Linked DNA regions of Sus scrofa. The protein of the gene in region 2 purifies or fractionates together with the protein of the main gene of each other region. This does not show direct contact. Links are inferred from orthologs where the notes say so. Each region holds a gene or a part of one and is shown on either strand. Other genes may lie near its edges.

Evidence for each region.
Region 1: the proteins of GPR161 (region 2) and PRKACA purify together in Homo sapiens (affinity purification with mass spectrometry; 3 studies listed by BioGRID and IntAct, counting the BioPlex papers as one, with this or other methods). This does not show direct contact. The link is inferred for Sus scrofa from reciprocal best matches to the Homo sapiens genes GPR161 and PRKACA.

What each region holds. Positions count from the first base shown.
Region 1 is NC_010444.4:65,082,600-65,092,062, forward strand, and holds part of PRKACA (cAMP-dependent protein kinase catalytic subunit alpha), read left to right. Parts: intron 1-1,330; coding exon 1,331-1,392; intron 1,393-1,847; coding exon 1,848-1,976; intron 1,977-3,902; coding exon 3,903-4,001; intron 4,002-5,180; coding exon 5,181-5,263; intron 5,264-6,936; coding exon 6,937-7,063; intron 7,064-7,155; coding exon 7,156-7,251; intron 7,252-7,349; coding exon 7,350-7,472; intron 7,473-9,463.
Region 2 is NC_010446.5:82,896,734-82,906,196, reverse strand, and holds part of GPR161 (G-protein coupled receptor 161), read right to left. Parts: intron 9,260-9,463; coding exon 9,155-9,259; intron 5,499-9,154; coding exon 5,379-5,498; intron 2,975-5,378; coding exon 2,709-2,974; 3' UTR 1-2,708. UniProt on the Homo sapiens protein: Key negative regulator of Shh signaling, which promotes the processing of GLI3 into GLI3R during neural tube development.

The DNA.
Region 1 (9,463 bases), on a different chromosome or scaffold from region 2:
ATATAATTGTTCGCATCTGGGAGTTCCTATTGTGGCTCAACAGGTTAAGAACCAGACTAGTATCCATGAGGATGCCAGTTTGATCCCTGGCCCCACTCAGTGGGTTAACATTTGGTGTTACCACAAGCTTCGGTGCAGGTTGCAGATGCGTCTCAGATCTGGCATTGCTGTAGCCATGGTGTAGGCCCGCAGCTGCGGCTCCAATTCAATCCCTAGCCTGGAACTTCCATACTTCTGTGGGTACAGACCTAAAAAGGAAAAAAAAAAAAAAAAAAAGATAGCTTGCATCTGAATGGCTGACATTTATATGGCACTAACTCTGTGCTGGCCACCATCCGAACCCCCTTTGCCAAAATTAACTCATTCAGTCCTCATAACCACCCTGCCAGGTCATTAGTGTTATCATTCCCATTTTACAGAGGAAAACTGAGGCCCAGAAGTGAGGTCATTTGCCTAAGGCCACACAGCTCATCGGGGACTAGGCCAGGATCTGAACTTGATCTTATCCCAGAGTCCTGGCCTTAACTACTTTGTCAGGCCACCTCTGCATTGGCCGGAATGCCTCTTTCAGGTCTCAGTTTACTAGGGTGATAAATGGGGAGAATGGCTAAAAGGAAAGTTGGCAAGTGAACCAAATGAGTCAGTGGACACAAAGCAGCAAGCCCAGGGTCCGCCAAGATGTCTTCAATGCTAGCTGAATGGTGATGTTTGCCTTGGGGTGCAGAGGGGCCTGTAGGGGGTGGGCATCAGGCGAGGCTTCCCTTGAACCAGCTCTGGAATGAGGGCCCCTCTGTTGGCAAAGGCGAGAATGGGGCCAGCTGGGGGCCAAGGCAACAGCTGAACCCCCCCCCAAGGGTGCCTGCTACCCGAGCCCCAGAGGCCTCCACCCCAGGCCTGGCCTCCTCAGAGAAGGGGCCAGAGGAGCAGCCAAATCCGAGGCTATAAATACCACGGCTGGCGTCGTCCCTGGCCGTGGAATGTCAGTCAGAACTGGGGCAAGTGGGGGTGGGCTGGCCTGGGCGCCGCTCTCTGTCCCCCTGAGAGTGACCCCTCGAGTCACCCTGTCTTCCGTTTTGGACAGAATTGAGGCTGGATCCCAGCTCTCTGTAGTATAGAGGACCCAGGCCCCAGCCCAGATCAGGGCCCCCGCCGCCCGCCCGCCCCAAGTTACCCTCAGTTTCAGCCAGGGCACCGGAAGGCACTGGAAGAAGGTCAAGCTCTGGGTTGAGACAATTGCACCCCACTTTCCACAAAGCAGCGCCTCCCCAGGACTAGCCCGGACCCACACTAACAAGATGGGGTCTCTCTCTCTCACCTTTCTTCCTTTCAGTGAAAGAGTTCTTAGCCAAAGCCAAAGAAGATTTTCTTAAAAAATGGGAAAATCCTGCTCAGGTAAGCCCCCTGGGAGGGCTGACATGATGGCCCCTTGATACCCAACTGCATCCCTGGCATGACTGGGATTTCTAGGGCCCTAAGGAGGGCTCCAGACCTGCCCTCATTCACTCCTGAGATGCCCACGGAGGCTCCTGGGCAAAGGCACCTGATCACCCACTGCCAGGCTCCCCCACCCACCACCCTCTTCCAACTGGCGGCCCCTGCCCCCCAGGCAGCTGCCAGCAGCTCCTGGGCCCCAGGCCAGGGCCGGATCTGGCCCCTGCCACCAGCCTTAAGGAATGCGCCCTCTGCCATCTTGTTTTTCCGCCCCCTGTCCTCACCCTCCTGACTCCACCTGGTCCCCAGGGCCCCCTCTGCTGGTGGCACAAGGGATGCCCCAAATTTCAGGCTGCAGGGTAGGTTGAGGGTGGGAGGGGTTGTTCTCTGACCCCCCCAGACCCCTCCGCCCACAGAATACAGCCCATTTGGATCAATTTGAACGAATCAAGACCCTCGGCACGGGCTCCTTCGGGCGGGTGATGCTGGTGAAGCACAAGGAGACTGGGAACCACTTTGCCATGAAGATCCTCGACAAACAGAAGGTGAGCCCAGCCCTGCCACAAGGCCCTGGTCCGACCCACTAGGGCTTTGCCTGGGCTGTTCCCACCACCTGCAGCGCTCTTCCCACCCATCTGCTCACCAGCTATTTCCTGAACCTCCAAAATGTGCCAAATCCAAGGGCAGGAAAGGGTACCACGCTCCTTCAGGAAGCTTCCCCTCCTGGGTAGCCACTGATGCAAATTTAGGCATTAGACCTGGGGTCAGACACCTCGCCTGTATGGAGGAAGTCAGGAGGAAGTGATGTTTACACAGACCTTCTTTCTGTAAATATTTTTGAGACCCTGCTTTTTGCCAGGCACTGCTCTAGAGCAGCACCATCCAGGAGAAATATCACACAAGCCACATACGGTTTTAGATTTTCTAGGAGTTTCCTGGTGGCTCAGCGGGTTAAGAATCTGGCATTGTCGCTGTTGTGGCTTGAGTTGCTATGGTGGTGCAGATTCGATCCCTGGCCTGGGAACTTCTGCACACCACCAGCACAGCCAAAAATAAATAAAGTAAATAAGTTTTCTAGAATCCTAATTAAAATTTTTTTTAAAAAAACAGGTAGAATTCATTTTAACCACGTGTTGTAATTAAGTCAGTATGTCTACAATATTATCATTTCAGCTAATGTAACTAGTGTAGAAATATCATTCATGAGATGTCTTACATTTTTCTTCCACACTAAGTCTTATAAATCCAGTGTGTATTTTACACTTATGTCTCCATTCAGATGTTAATTTTCACTGGAAAGACAAGAAAAAGTGGAGAAGTTGAAAAAGCAGACTCACACAGGGAGTTCCCATCGTGGCTCAGTCGTTAACAAATCCAACTAGGAACCATGAGGTTGCGGGTTCGATCCCTGGCCTTGCTCAGTGGGTTAAGGATCCAGCATTGCCGTGAGCTGTGGTGTAGGTCGCAGACGCGGCTCAGATCCCGTGTTGCTGTGGCTCTGGCATAGACTGGGCTGCTGCAGCTCCGATTCGACCCCTAGCCTGGGAACCTCCATCTGCCGTGGGAACGGCCCAAGAAATGGCAAAAAAGACAAAAAAAAAAAAACCAAAAAACAGACTTACACAGCCCAAATTGTTCCAAACAGGCTTGAAAGTTGTCTGGTGCCTGCACTGAGTATCAGTTTTTAAATTTTAGACACTTCAAATTTTAAACTCAGTTCCACGTTTCAGCCAGCCACATTTCAGCAGACGAGTGGCTAGTGTGGACTCTACTGGACAGTGCAAGTGTAGACCCAAAGGCTGCAGCTGTGAGCAAAGCAGAAGAAAGCCCCAGTGCAGTGGTTTAGCGCTGACCAAAGGGCTAGGCTGCCTGCTTGTGACAGGCGGGCCTGACACTGACTAGCTACACTTGACCTTGGGCAAGTCACTTACTCTCTCTGCATCCAAACTAGCATGCTCTCGGGGCGTACCCCTCCAGGCTCCTGTCACAGCGTGTGAGGCACCTCCTGGGGACAGCTGAGGCCAAGGAGGAACTACCCCAGGTTTTAGGTGGATGTGGTGGGGGGTGGGGGGGTGCTCTAGATGCAGGAAAGGTATTTCTAATCCCTCCACCCCTTGAGTGTTCCTCCTGCCTGTCCAGTTTCAGCTCAGCTGCCCTTTCCTCCAGGAAGCCTTCTCTGATGCCCCCCCTTCCCACAGACTTCACTGGGCACCTTACCTGGGCATCCACAGGCCCTGAGCTTCCCCCACCACAGCTCTGACCCCTGTGACCTGGTGACTGAATGTGTTCTTGCTCTGAACTGCATGCCATGTGGGACAGGCTCCCAGCCCAGGGCTTGACAGGCCCCAGGCACTCAAATGATTCTGGATGAAGGCAGGGGCCCAGCCCTGGCACCCCTGTTTTGGGGCAGCAGGGAAGACGAAGACCCTCTCACACCCCTTCCTCTCCACCCTCCCCTCCTCCCACCACAGGTGGTGAAGCTGAAACAGATTGAGCACACCCTGAATGAAAAGCGCATCCTGCAAGCAGTCAACTTCCCGTTCCTTGTCAAACTCGAGTTCTCCTTCAAGGTGAGGTCCCAGCGGCCGCCACCCAGGGCCACTGTGGGTGGTGCAGCCTCTCGGTTCCCAGAACTGAGGCTGGGCCAGCAACAACCAGTAGCTGCCCAAGAAGGCAGGCCCACTGATGGGGGAGAAGGAGACCCAGGGTTAGGGGTCAAGTCAGCTTAGGGCTCTGACAGACCCAAGTTCAACCAGGCCTGACAACTTCTAGCTTGATAACCTTGGGCAAGTCACCCAACCTCAGTAACATTCCTCAAACTCATCACTCCATTTACAGGAAGAACCTGACACACGGCCATAAAATGTGCCACTCAGCCTAGGTTCAAATCCATGTACTTCCTGGCCGTGTGACCCTGGCGAGGAATGCCCCTGAGCCTTTGTTTCTTCATCTGTAAAATGGGGATCATAGCAGTTTCTACATGGTGGGGTTGCCATGACAGTTCCAAGCACATCATCAAATCGCCCAAGCCCTGTGTGAGCCATCTGGGGTGCTGACGTAAGTGGTGACTGCAAGAGCTGGAAAGGTCACTCAGCTTAGGTCACTCACCCCAGCAGTCATGAAGACCCCACACTTAGTTTAAGGCACTGCTGCCACTGTCTTGAGATTCATAATTAATTTTTTAACAAGGGGCTTCATACTTTTATTGTGGAGAGGGGGTGCCCAGAAATTCTGTAGTCCATCCTGGTCCCATTTGACAGATGATAAAACTGTGGCCCCAAGAGCCTCGCCGAAGATAGTCACAGACATGAACCACTACAGGGTTCTCTCTGCAGCCCGGGCATGCTGGCCAGGTCCCTTATGTACCTCTAGCCAGCCCTTATTACTTTTAGCCCCAATAAGCAGGATACTGGCAATCCCTTCTTTCTTCCAGGCAGTAGGAAATGAGACAGGAGTTCTCTGGTGGCTCAGCAGGTTAAGGATCCAGTGTCATCACTGCTGGGGCACGGGTTTGGTTCCTGGCCTGGGAACTTCTGCATGCCCGTAGACACAGCCAAAAAAAAGGGGGCGGGGAGGAAATGAGACAGGTAATCAGTGAGCACAGCGCCCAGCACTTAGTACGTGCTTCTCGTGGGAGCCAAGATTGTTGTCATTTTATTTCTGAACATCCGCCAGATCAGGGTGGCAGGCCTTCAGATGGGGCCCATGGCTTGGGGAATGGGGCTCTGATCAGCTGCTGCTTCCCGCAGGACAACTCAAATTTATACATGGTCATGGAATATGTGCCTGGTGGGGAGATGTTCTCACACCTGCGGAGGATCGGGAGGTTCAGGTGAGCCAGCCACCCCCTGCCACACTGGGCCTGGGGCTGTCCATGGGCGTCATCTATGGAAGTGGCCTCTCCAGGTTCCTATGGGTTCTTGCCTCTCCCTGAGCTGAGGAATCTCTGATGTCTCAACTACCACGAAATAAAACAAGCATAGTGACTTAGGTGTCTCCATGTGAGTGGGCGAGTTTATATTGTTTTTAAATTTATCCTGTCGTTTCATTTTATTTCTTTTTTGTTTGTTTGTTTGTTTGTTTTTTAGGTCCACACCTGAAGCATATGGAAATTCCCAGGCTAGGGGTCCAATTGGAGCCATAGCCACCACCCACAACACCACCAGATCCGAGCCACGTCTGCGACCTACGCCACAGGTCACAACAACACTGGATCCTTAACCCACTGAGTGAGGCCAGGGATCGAACCTGCATCCTCACAGATACTACTCAGATTTGTTACTAGTCAGATTCGTTACTGCTGAGCCACAGCGGGAACTCCTCATTGTATTTCTTTATACAGATACTCACTTTACACACAAGAAAATGCACAGGTTTTCAATGATCTGTCCCGTGAGTTTTGACAGCTACATGCACTTATGTAACCACTACCCCAAGAAATTCCCTCAAATACTTTTCTTGGCAAATCGCTGCCCCAACAAAGGCAAATGTCCTTTCTGGCTGTAAGCACCGTAAATGTGTTTGGTCCAAGTCTGGACTCAATATAAATGGAATCACACAGTTCACATTCTTCTGTCCTTTCTTCTCATGCCTTCCATAATCACTTTGAGATCCAGCCACACCATTGGGTATATTCATCGTTTGTCCTGGAGGTGGTGTTGGGTAGGATTCCATTGTATGAAGCTTTCGAAATCTGGGATTCCATTTCTCTGTGGATGGACATTTGGGCTGTTTCCATTTTAGAGCTATATGTGAATAAGGCTGCTCTGCTGATGCATTTTGGGTTTTTGTGTGTGTGTGGTTTTGTTTTTGTTTTTGCTTTTTGTGTTTTTCTGTTTAGGGCTGCACTCAAGGCATATGGAAGTTCCCAGGCTAGGAATCGAATCAGAGCTATAGCTGCCTGCCTGCCCCATAGCCACAGCAACGCCAGATCTGAGCCACATCTGCAACCTCCACCGCAGCTTGTGGCAACACCAGATCCTTAACCCAGTAAGTGAGGCCAGAGATTGAACTTACATCCTCATGGATACTAGTCAGGATCTTAACACGCTGAGCCATAATGGGAAATCCTGCTGATGGTCTTTTTTTTTTTTTTTTTTTTTTTTTCCGCTTTTTAGGGCCGCAACATATGGAGGGTCCCAGACGAGGGGTCAAATCAGAGCTATAGCTGCCACCTACACCATAGCCACAGCAACACAGGATCCGAGCCGGGTCTGCAACCTACACCACAGCTCACAGCAACGCCAGATCCTTAACCCACTGAACAAGGCCAGGGATTGAACCCGCAACTTCATGGTTCCTAATCAGATTCATTTCCCCTGTGCTGCGATGGGAACTCTTTTTTTTTTTTTTTTTTTTTTTTTTTTTTTTTTTTTTAATACTGATGCATTTTTGATAGCTAGGCTGGAGGCACCTCTCCAGGCTCACTTGCTGGACCATTTGCAGGAGGTCCTGCTGCTGTGTCCACCCTCACCCACCCATCCTCTCCCCTCTTGTCCCCATCAGTGAGCCCCATGCCCGCTTCTACGCGGCCCAGATTGTCCTGACCTTCGAGTACCTGCACTCGCTTGATCTCATCTACCGGGACCTGAAGCCGGAGAACCTTCTCATCGACCAGCAGGGCTACATTCAGGTGCCCACTGGGCCAGGGGAGGGGCAGCCCCAGGTGACTGTGGCGTGAATCCTCCCTGCCTCCCCACCAACTGCCTGTTCTTGTGCCCACAGGTGACAGACTTCGGTTTTGCCAAACGTGTGAAAGGCCGCACCTGGACTTTGTGTGGGACACCCGAGTACCTGGCCCCTGAGATCATCCTGAGTAAAGTAGGCGCTTCCCTACCCCTCCCACCACCCTGAGACCGGCTCCGCCAGCGCCCCCGCTTCACCCTTCTCCCCTCACCTGCACACCCCCCTCACTCCAGGGCTACAACAAAGCTGTGGACTGGTGGGCCCTGGGGGTTCTCATCTATGAGATGGCCGCTGGCTACCCGCCCTTCTTCGCTGACCAGCCCATCCAGATCTACGAGAAGATTGTCTCCGGGAAGGTGAGGCCTGGATTCAGGGGCTTGGCCCCCAGACAGACCCCTTGCCCACCCATCCTGCTCTCCATGGAGCCCTATGCATTGTCACAACAATCTAGAGGTTCATTAAGCCCGGCCAGGGGGTGATACCAGGCACACCACTTGCCACACTAACTAAAGCCACCACTTCACACAGCCTTGGTGGCTGATTCTAGGACCCACAGTGCCAAAATCCCACAGGTATCCAAAACCCTCAGCCTCACCCAAACTCCTGCCTGGCTCAACATGAGGCTCTTCTCGCCTCTAGTCTAGTCTGGTCGTCCTTAGGGTGAGTTTTCACAAACTTCTCAGCAGAAAATCGAGTACAGAAGTTCCTGTCATGGCTCAGCAGTTAATGAACCTGACTAGTATCCATGAGGATGCAGGTTGGATCCCTGGCCTCGCTCAGTGGGTTAAGGATCTGGCATTGCTCTGAGCTTTGGTGTAGGTCCACATGTGGCTCAGATCCAATGTTGCTGTGGCATAGGCCAGCAGTGTAGCTCCAATTCAGCCCCTAGCCTGGGAACTAGCATATGCCATAAGTGCAGTCCTAAAAAGACACACACAAAAAAAGGCAAGTACATTCAGTTCCCAGGTGCTATCCCACCCCCCCACCTCCTTTCCCAAATACAGACTTTTTCGGAGCACATGGGTGAGGGATGGCACAACTGTTAGAGCCCAGGATGCATTAAGTGCCAGCTGCCCCCATGCACCTCCTGGGTTCGTCGTACCCCAGCACTCCGAGGGAGTGAGGAAGCTGAGGTGCAGAGAGCAGACATGTCTGGTTTGAGATCACATGGCAGCAGCAGCTGGAGAGAGGCAGAGGAACCCTACCTCTGCCCTCTGCTTGCCCACCTCACCTTCACCAGAAGGACCAGCCATCCCTTCATCTGGCCCAGGAAATGGAGTAGCTGGCAGCTCAGCCTGGGCGGGTTGGCCTGACTGTTAAGTTCCAGCTTTGCCATTCATCAGCTGTGAAACCCCAGGCCAATGGCTTTGCTTCTCTGAGTCTCATCTTAATCATCTCAGAACTGGAGAACTAGCCATGGGCCTCTCAGGTTGAGAGAATCCCCATCTGTCAAGTAGGGTCACTGAAAAAGGGAATGATGAGGTGTCTGCCATCAGGCAGAATAGAAGTTACCAAGAAAATGGCCCAGAGTAGGGGGGGAATAAAAAAAAAAAAGCCATAGAAAGTTTCAATGGGGGAGAGGAGAAGCTGAGCACAACTCCTTTCTTTGTAACGTTTTATGGTTCCCACGCACCCTCAGCAGGATTATCTCCCTCATGCAACCCTGGGATATCTGCCCCATGCCAAAGAGGCAGGCACAGGCCCAGAGAGGTTAAGGGCCGTAGCCAAGGTCACACAGCATATAAGAGGCAGAGCAATACTGGAAGTTGGTTCTTGTGGCCGTAAATTCAGTGATTGCTTGCATACAAGGTTAGAGGCACAAAGCATTTGGGGAAAGTTTCTGGAAGAGTTGAACTGGGCCTTAAGGAATGGAAGAGCCTTAGCTATGCAGAGAGAGAGAGAAATAGAAAAATAATTATTTCTGGAGTTCCTGTCGTGGCGCAGCAGAAACAAATCTGACTAGGAACCATGTGGTTGCGGGTTCAATCCCTGGCCTTGTTCAGTGGGTTAAGGATCTGGCATTGACGTGAGCTGTGGTGTAGGTGGCAGACGCGGTACCGATCCAGCATTGCTGTGGCTGTGGCATAGGCTGGCAGCTGTAGCTCCAATTAGACCCCTAGCCTGGGAACGTCCATATGCCGCAGGTGTGGCCCTAAAAAAAAAAGAAAGAAAGAAAGAAAAATAATTATTTCTTTCAGAATCATGAATATTTCAGAAGTCCCCAGACCCCAGCAGAGCTGCCTTAGGAAGCACTGGCTGAGAATGCAAGTTCTGGAGTCCAGCAGATCCAAGATGGACCACCTTGTCTTGTTCCTCTGTGTGACCTTGGGCAAGCTGTTTACTCCAT
Region 2 (9,463 bases):
ACCTCCCTCTGGAGTCTGCAGTTCTTTCAATAATCATTACCTGACTTTGCTATTTAGCCTCAGTCGCCTCCAGGTCTCTCCCTATGTTAGAGTGAAAACACTCTAATGTTACTACTCACAGAGCCAGTGTTAGTAATCAAGTAGTAACCAATGTTTACAATGCTTTGCACATAGATGTGATGCCTGGTAGATGAATAAACAGACCTCAGCGGAAAAGGGCAAACACAGAGAACGCTTTTGTACTTTTAGATTAGCTTAGATTAAATCCCAGTGTATCGCAGCTAGTCTAGGATCAGCCAGTGGGGACCTGGTGGGTCCCAGGACTCTTTCCCTAGAGCCCAGCCAACTACAGTCCAGGGGAAGTACTCTCCAACCCTTGGGTTGCAAGCCACTTTGCGGCACTCAAAAAGGCCTAGCCTGGGGGCCATCGTGAGTTACTCTAACTTGCCTGTAAAGGTCTCTCTGCCCTGTTCCACCTCAGTGCACACTAGATGCTCAGGAATATAGCCCCTTTAGAAACTAGACAAGGACAAGTGCTAGGGGAAAAAAAAAAATCACACATAGGGAACATAAATGCCCTCAGATTTAGGCATGCCACCCAGGAGTGAGAGCAGAGTCTGACTGATCTACACATCTTTTTTTTTTTTCTTTTTTCTTTTTAGGACTGCACCTGCAGCATATGGAAGTCCCTAGGCTAGCTGTCGAATCAGAGCTGCAGCTGCCAACCTACATCACCACCACAGCAATGCCAGATTCGAGCCCACATCTGTGACTTACACCTATGCTTGCTGCAGTGCCAGATCCTTAACCCACTGAGCAAGGCCAGCAGTCAAACCGGCATCCTCATGGATACTCGCTAGGTTCTTAACCCATTGAGCCACAAAAGGAACTCCCTGATCTGCACATCTTATCAGCAGAACCCACAGGTGAAACTGCCCTCTGCTCCTCTGGAAAAGCCACCTGCTTCTTCCCACTCTCATCCAGAATCCGACCAGTGCCTGGCACCCAGCTGACCCACAGGGGTTGTTGATGATCAGATGATCATTGGGAAGGTTAGCAAGCCCCCAGGTCTCAGGAAAGTCTTTTGTAAACTGCACACTAGGGGACCAGCCACACAGTAGAGACACTGCCTCACCAAGAGCTAGCTAGACCCCAAAGAACACTGCAAAGGTCATTCACTTTCTGGAACAGCTGCCCCTGTAGCAGACGCAGCTGGATCTTGGAATCTACCCTTTGCCAATCACCTGGAATTCTGAAGGCGGGGAAGGTCCTGCACTTGGCTGATTTAATCATTCAGGCTGAAGGGCAGGCACAGGTGGTTCCAGTCAGCACAGACCTGACTCCAAGCCCCCACTTCAACTGCCATCCTGACTCACGGGAGGCGGGGAAGATCCAGCATATGAACCATAATCCGCAGCTCCCCTTTCACCTCGAGGAGGTGCCCTCTGGCCCCATTTATGTGTCTTGCTGGTTGGCACTGTGTCAGGACATGCTCGTAATAGACCAACTGGACCAGCCCACCCCTCCACACACACACATGAGAAGCCACACACAAAAACTGTGCAAATGTTAGTCCATGGGATGCCCTTTTTTTTTTTTCCCTAAGCTACAAATTCAAAAACATCAAAGACCAGAGTTAGAAATGATCCTGGCAACCATTCAATCCAACTCTCCAATCCCTTATCTCATTTCCCAGATTCCTAGAGGTGACAGAAGTCCCAAATGATAAGGTAAGACAGAGCCAGGCCAGAAGGCAGGTTGCTCACTCCAAGTCTCTCTTGTCTCAAACTGCCCAGGGCAGGGAACTAGTAGCTGCTGCCTACGGGAGAACTCCCTGTGCACCTGGCAGCCAGCTAATCTAAATGGTCAATCAAACCTCACAAACAGAATCTATTCCACGACGTTTTCCTATGTGACAGGATTCCAACAGTATCTCTATTTCCCAGCAGCACGTGGCCCTGTGGCCCCGTTCGGGCTCAGTAAGATCATGGTGCGTCCTAACCAAACGGATTGTTTTTTAAAACTAGAAATGAAACATCTGGTATCTGCGCCTCTCTCCTGTCTTTTACAGTGGTTTCTCCCTGCTTTTGAAACATCAAAGAATAAGCCCACAGGGAGGCGGACACGATGGGCCTTGTTCTCAGCAACAACATCCCCCTGGGCCCCCGGCCTGTCCCCTCTAGCACCAGCAGGTGTCTCCACCAAAGGCAAAGTCATAACCAGGACACAGCGTGTGGCAAATGGATCTGGGGTGCTCTGCTGCTGGATTCTCTTCTGGGGACCGTTTAGTGCAGAACTGACGGCCCCACACGGCCCAGACCCACTACACGGAAGTGCCGTCCTCCAAAGTGCATCGGGAAGGGCTCGCCTGAGGCCTTGGGACAGTGCGTGGCTGGACTCCCAGGACACAGGTTGTGAAGAAGAGGAAGCGACCCACATGGTGGTTTCCTCCCGGCCGTGCTCACCAGTCCCCCTCTCAGCCCCGCCTCCCACAAAGTCACAACCACACCTCCACCTGCTTTTCTTTATGCTCTAGGTGCCTCTGGTCTCGTCACTGGGGCCCACAAGAAGCCTGGTGGGGTCTCACAACAGACACCGAAGTCACTCACAGACGTTGTGTTCAGAGGTTTTTCGTCTGATGACTGAAGACCAGATGTTGCTCCCAGGGCCCTGGCCCAGACGGGAATGGGCATCCTGCGGGGAGGCCCTCATCTCTGTTCTGCAGCTAAAATGTTCCCCTCGTCGATGCTCTGCAGCTGCAGCCTCTGACTCGCCAGAGTTCTGCTGCCCCGGCGACTCCCAAAGCCAGCCCCTGGCACCGTCCGTGCCGCCAGCAAGACCCCAGGCAAAGCCTCCTCCCCAAATAAGTTGATTTTGGCTTCAGCCTCAATGGCTTTGGCCAGGCTGGCTGCGTAACTGTCCAAGGACTTATGCACGTCGGCTCGCACATGAAGAATAGGGTTCCTGGCAGCTTCTGAGAGAGAAGGGAGAAAAACAGTTAGAGGGGGGCCAGGACCATGGCCATTCTGGAACTGGCCTGGGAGGGGAGTATCTTAACTTACTCTCTGGGAAATCTTAGAGGCTATGTATCTAACCTCAGCTCCCTCATCTGTAATGAGAAGATCGTGGCATAGCCATTACTTTAGGGGGTTACCGTGATAATGAAACAGTTCTTCCTAAGATGCCAGCTTAGGCCTGGCTTGTAGAAAAGGCTTAATAAATACTTTCTAGGAGGATATTCAAATGTTTACATGGTTGAAAGAGTTCTCTGATCTTTCTGCTCCCTGGAGTAGCTACGGCTGTAAATGTCCACAAACCTGAATGTTGTCTCTGCCCCTCCACTCTTGGTCAGAGATTCCCCAGAGCCACATGGAGACCCTCAGGACTGGAAGCTCATTAACGGTTCCCCCAGGATTACTACCCCCTAACAATGGGGCACAGATGGGAGGGTGGGAGGGGTCCTTCAATTTCATACCCAGGGCCTTATGACTATTAACCTCATTGCTTATTTCCTCCTGACATCTTGGGGGGAAAGGTGTATCCCCTACTTTTCGAGTTTTCTGCAGTAGGCAACTTCCATCCTACTCTCCAAGAGGGAAAGAGTTGCGGGGGCCACGTGGCCCCTCCCTGCCCTGTCACTCATTGGCGGGAGGGGGGTGCATCTTACATGTGCCCACTCTCCTTCCTGCCTGTAGAAAGGTGCCTTTGGAATTGCTGTCCCCTAACAGTTGGCTTGATGGAGCAAGCTTGGCCTTGTGTGGGCTCGCTAGATTAAGGAGGATTTCAATCCATTTCTTTAAAATATGGGAATACTGTTTTCCATAGCGGTTGTACCAAGAGACTCTCATACTAAGTGAAGTCAGAAAGACAAAGACAAATACAGTATGATATCACTTATATCTGGAATCTAATAAATGGCACAAATGAAACTATCTACAGAAAAGAAACAAACTCATGGACGTGGAAAACAGACTTGTGGTTGCCACAGGAGAGAGGTTAGGAGTGGGATGGATTGGGAGTTTGCAGTTAGTAGATGTATAGCATCTGGAGTGGATAAGCAATGAGGTCCTGCTGTGTAGCACAGGGAACTATATCTAGTCATTTGTGATGGAATATGATGGAGGATAATGTGAGAAAAAGTATATATATATATATATATATATATACACACACACACACACACACACACATACATATATACATACACACACACACACATATATATATAACTGGGTCACTTTGCAGTACAGCAGAAATTGACAGAACACTGTAAATCAACTGTAATAAAAATTCTTTTAAATATGGGAGTAATATATCATAAAGCCCATGAGGCTGCTGGTCCAAGCTCTGTTCTTGAATCCTCTTTGCCAGTGAAGCAGACAATTTGCCATCTGCCTCCCTGACATCCATGACCATTCATCTGGAATCAGGAAGGGGTGCTAGAGAGATAGGACTAATTATGAACCTAAGGCTCTGACCCAGCCCATATTTATTTTCATACTCGGCATTTCTGAAGAATGTATGTCTTACAGATCCCGGACTCCTCCACCACATACACACCCAGCCATGCGAGTGGCTGTCCTCATACGGTGGGATTCAGAGGCAAAGAGAGTCTTACACCTATGCGCAGCCTGATGGCTCCTTGGTCACTCCTCGGATCAGCCTGTCTGGATGGGAAAGGATGGGAAACCAGACCCCAAGTTCCAGAGGCAACATGTGTGCCGAGAGGTGAATTCAGAACAGGTAGGGCAGAAAAACATCGGACTGGACTACAGCCGAACGCACTCCTCTCACAGGATCCCAGCTCCCTTACCAGCTTCTGGGCAACAGACACTCAAGACGGCAGCCTTTAGTGCTGCTGGAGCAGGGCACTCGCGGGGCATGGCTTCCGTCTTCCACGTGAGGAAGCCGAGGCTCCGAAGGACACGTTCAGATTTATAACCACACGTAACCCATAAAGGAGAGGAAACTACAGAGGGCTCAGAAACTGTTTTATCCAGTCAGGCAACTTCCTGAGGGAGGGAGACTAGAACTGGTATGTGGGTTGTGTGTGTATGTGGGTGGAGCCGTGTGTGTGGCTGTGTATGCATTTGTGTGGCTGTGTGTACGTGTCTGTGTGTATAGCTCTGTGCCATGCATGTGTGTAGCTGTGTATGTGGCTCTGTGTGTGTGTCTACATACAGCACCATGGCCACTGCTTGCCTAGCCTTAGATGCTGGGAAACCTAAGAACTCCAGTGAGACTGGCAGGGTCGGGAGCGACATCAGGGTGGGCGAAGGTGGGGCCCTGGTTGGGTGGAGGCAGGCAGAGCCAAGGAATTTTCCAAAGATCCTTTCGTTTCCCCTGTTTTCCTAAAGGCATCAGTGACAGAAACCAACCTTTGACTTGTTCCACTTCATCCTCGAATGTCACCGAGCTCCTCCTCTTGGGTGGGCAAGTGCAGTGCGAGGGAGGGTTGTCGTCAGACGTGTAGTCCTCGAGCAGCATCACGTCTGTTCCTAAAACCAAGGGCAGATGTGCACCGGAACCCAGCAACACCACCAAGTCCTTCTCATTGCCTTTCTTGCTGGCTCTCAACACCCCTTGCATCCCTCTCTCCCACTGAATCAAACCCACCGTCAAGGGCGACTAACTGCCCTGCAGCATTTGCCCAAGAAACACTGTTTCATTCCAAGGAGTTTGCAGCCAGCTTTGGGGCTGCTTCAAACACACCAAAAATACAGCAAGGTTATCCAGGTGGATGGGTTACTTGGAAGTGCTGAGTGTGCCAGACCTGGAACGGAGGGCACGGGGAGTCAGGCTGAGTGGAGGAGGGGGCCCTATTAAAGGGGCTTTGTGCTCCAAGTGATTTTTCTTACAGTTTGAATTTCTAGCTTTCTAGTTAAAATATGCTGTCCTAAATAAACATTTAAAACCTGAAAATGTAAACTTCTTTGGGGATCAAGAAGGGATTGAAAAATATGTCCCCTAAAGAGTGGAGGGAGATGTTCCCATCATGGTGCAGCAGAAACAAATCTGACTAGCATCCATGAGGACACAGATTTGATCCCTGGTCTTGCTCAGTGGGTTAAGGATCCGGCATTGCCATGAGCTGTGGTGTAGGTCACAGACGTGGCTTGGATTCGTGTTGCTGTGGCTCTGGTGTAGGCCAGCGGCTGTAGCTCTGATTCAACCCCTAGCCTGGGAACCTCCGTGTGCCTCGGGTGGGGCCCTAAAAGGACCAAAAAAATAAAAAAAATAAAAAAAAAAATAAAGTGGAGGGAAAAGGCAAAGCGGCAGGAAGGCCTATTAGAGAGAGCTGGGCTGATGGGCAGGGGGAGTGGGAGGGAAGGAGGGCAGATGTTGGGACCAGCCTTCAGTCTTTCAAGGCCTTGATGCTTAGGAAATTAGGAAAGAGGGGGAGCCTGGAGTTTCCGTTGTGGCTTAGCAGGTTAAGAACCTGGTAGAGTGTCCATGAGGATGTGGGTTTGATTTCCTGCCCTCGAGCACTGGGTTAAGGACCCAGTGTCGCCACAAGCTGCAGCATGGATCATGGATGTGGCTTGGATCCTGAATTGCTGTGGCTGTGTGTAGGCCTGCAGCTGCAGCTCTAATACGATCCCTTGCCTGGGAACTTCCATAAGCTGCAGGTGTGGCCATTTAAGAAAGAAAGAAAGCGAGAGAAAGAGAAGGAAGGAGGAAGGAACTAAGAAAGAAAAGAAAAAAGAGGAGCCTGGAGCTCCTCACATGTTCTTTAAGAACGATTTGCAAAGGCACATTCCTTCGGCAGGCTTGTAATATGGTGGTTAAGCATACAGGTTCAAGAGTGGGACAGATCCAGGATCCCAGGCAGGTGATTTAATCCCTTGGCATCTTTTCATGCTTGCACAATGGTTATCGTAATTCCATCTACCTCTTAAGAGTTATTGGGAGGATTATGAGTTGAAACATGTACACATGTGACACAGTGCCTGGCACACAGCAAGTGCCTCATCACTGGAAGTCATCACTTGTGAGGACACAGCTAATAAACTGTGGGGCTAAAGCTCACACTTTGGTCTGTGGGACCCCAAAGCCCAAGCTCCTTCTACTACCTACAACCCTGTCCCCTCCCTCGCTCCTTTCTGCCTGTTCAGGTTTTAACATCACTTTCTCAGAGAAGCTTTTTTAATGTTCCCTCCCACCAATTCCTTTCCAACAGAGAGCACACACAACTCTGTTTTGTGTCCCTGTGGCACTTGGCTTCCCGGAGCAGAATTACTGAGGTGTAATTTGCATCCCACACAAGTGCCCATTTGAAGTGCACAGGATGGCCATCCTCACCACTAGAAAGCAAGCCCTGTGAGGGCAGCTCACCCCATCTTTCTCACCTAGTGTGGTATCTGGTCAAAGCAGTGGCTGGGCAAATAAAGAAACAAATTTGTTAATGAGCGAATGTCACTCTGCCTCTGGATCCCTGTTGGGGTCTGAGAAGCGGGCGGGGGTCTGAGGAGGGACAGAGGCCTTCCTGTCCTTCACATCACACCAGGGACTCGGGCCTCCAAGGGAAGGTGTGACCAGCGGTTCAATCCTCTGGGCTGCCCGGGGGAAACGCTCCATAACAGGAGGCCTGGCCTGGCTCCCTGGCCATGGCCCCCACACATAGAATTCCATGACACAGGCTCAGGCCAGGAAACACAGCTCAAGGCAGAGAGGACGTTTCAAAGGTTCCAGCAGCAGCAGAGAAGGAGGAGGACAGAGGGAAGCCTGTGCTTTGAGATCCAGGACGTGGCACCCTCCTTTCAAATGGACAGATGCCAGTCTGTCACACACGTCCCCAGCACACATGTGCCCAGCACTCAGACAGACACTCAGACTCACACAGCCCCCAAAGAGCTGCTCTGTCAGCTCCATGAATGACTGGCAGAGGGACACCACCAGCCACTGCCTACAAGCCTCTCACCTAGGGCCTGGTGAGGTGACGCAGTCATCTGAGCATAAGATGTGGCACTCGGCTGCCTGGAAGCCAGGCGCAGACTGTGACATCACAGAGCCCCCTGCTCAGGGGAGGAGCCCCAGGTCTGCACCAACCCCTGGGAACAGCTCCAGGGAGAGTTTAGAGGATGTTGGTAGAGATGTCTCTTCGGGGAGACAGAGCTCCCCACAGGCAGGTGCAGGGCATGTAACAACAGTGACAGGGCACCCGACCTTGTTGACTCTGCCCTGACAGAGGGACAGTTGTACCAGATCACAAATGGGGAAACTCAAAGGTTTGGAAAGAGACGAGCAGGGAGTTCCCATCACGGCTCAGTGGTAATGAACCTGACTAGTATCCATGAGGATGCAAGTTCGACCCCTGGTCTTAGTCAGTGGGTTAAAGATCCGGCGTTGCAGGTCACAGACTTGGCTCGGATGATGCGCTGCTGTGGCTCTGGCGTAGGCCGGCAGCTGCAGCTTCAATTCAACCCCTAGCCTGGGAACCTCCATACTCCCTAAGTGAGGCCCTAAAAACACACACACACAAAGAAAGAAAGAAAGAGAGACAGACAGGCAGCCTGCCTCAACACTGTTCTTGAGAAGCCAATTTGAGAAGAAAACCTGGGCTGGCTGACTCCAGCCAGAGTCCACATAGGCCAGCAGTTATTATAACTCAAGTAACAACTCACAATAGCTTAACATGTTAACTTTTCAAAGGTTTTCACTTAATCTGCATCTCACAACCCCACTGGGTGGCAGGAAGCACAGGAGCTGAGGTCCTCACCATCTACAGGAAGGAACCGAAGCACAGAGATGCTAGAAAGCTAAAAGCTGTGACTGGAGTTCCCGTCATGGCTCAGCGGTTAACGAATCCGACTAGGAACCATGAAGTTGCAGGTTCGACCCCTGGCCTCACTCAGTGGGTTAAGGATCTGGCGTTGCCGTGAGCTGTGGTGTAGATCACAGACAAGGCTCGGATCCAGCGTTGCTGTGGCTCTGGTATAGGCTGCTGGTTACAGCTCTGATTCGACCCCTAGCCTGGGAATCTCCATATGCCACACATGCGGCCCTAGAAAAAGACAAAAAAAAAAAAAAAACAGAGAGAGAGAGAGAGAGAGAGAGATAAAAACCATGACTAGAAACCCTTGACTCCTGTCCCTTACATCCTGGGAGCCAGCCCTCCCATGAGCTCCTACCAGCGGGAAGGCGAGAGGCTTACCTGAGTCCTGAGAGCAGCTGAAGCCGGTGTCCCCCGTGCTGCTGCTGTTCCCCAGGGGCTGCCCGCCTGCCATGAGCGCTGTGAGGTGTGGGGACAGGCCCAGGTCTGAAAGGCAAGGTTGGCACTGACTGCACAATCCCCGTCCCCCACTGGGGCCCACAGGCCTCACCCCCTGGGCGGCCCTCCTGTCCGCTCCACTGTCCTGCACAGCACACCCGCCACCCACGGAAGACAGAAAGCCCTGGGCCGCCTTTCCTCCCTTTGCCCCTTGTTCCCATCCTGTCCCACAGAGGCTGGGACAGGATTCTC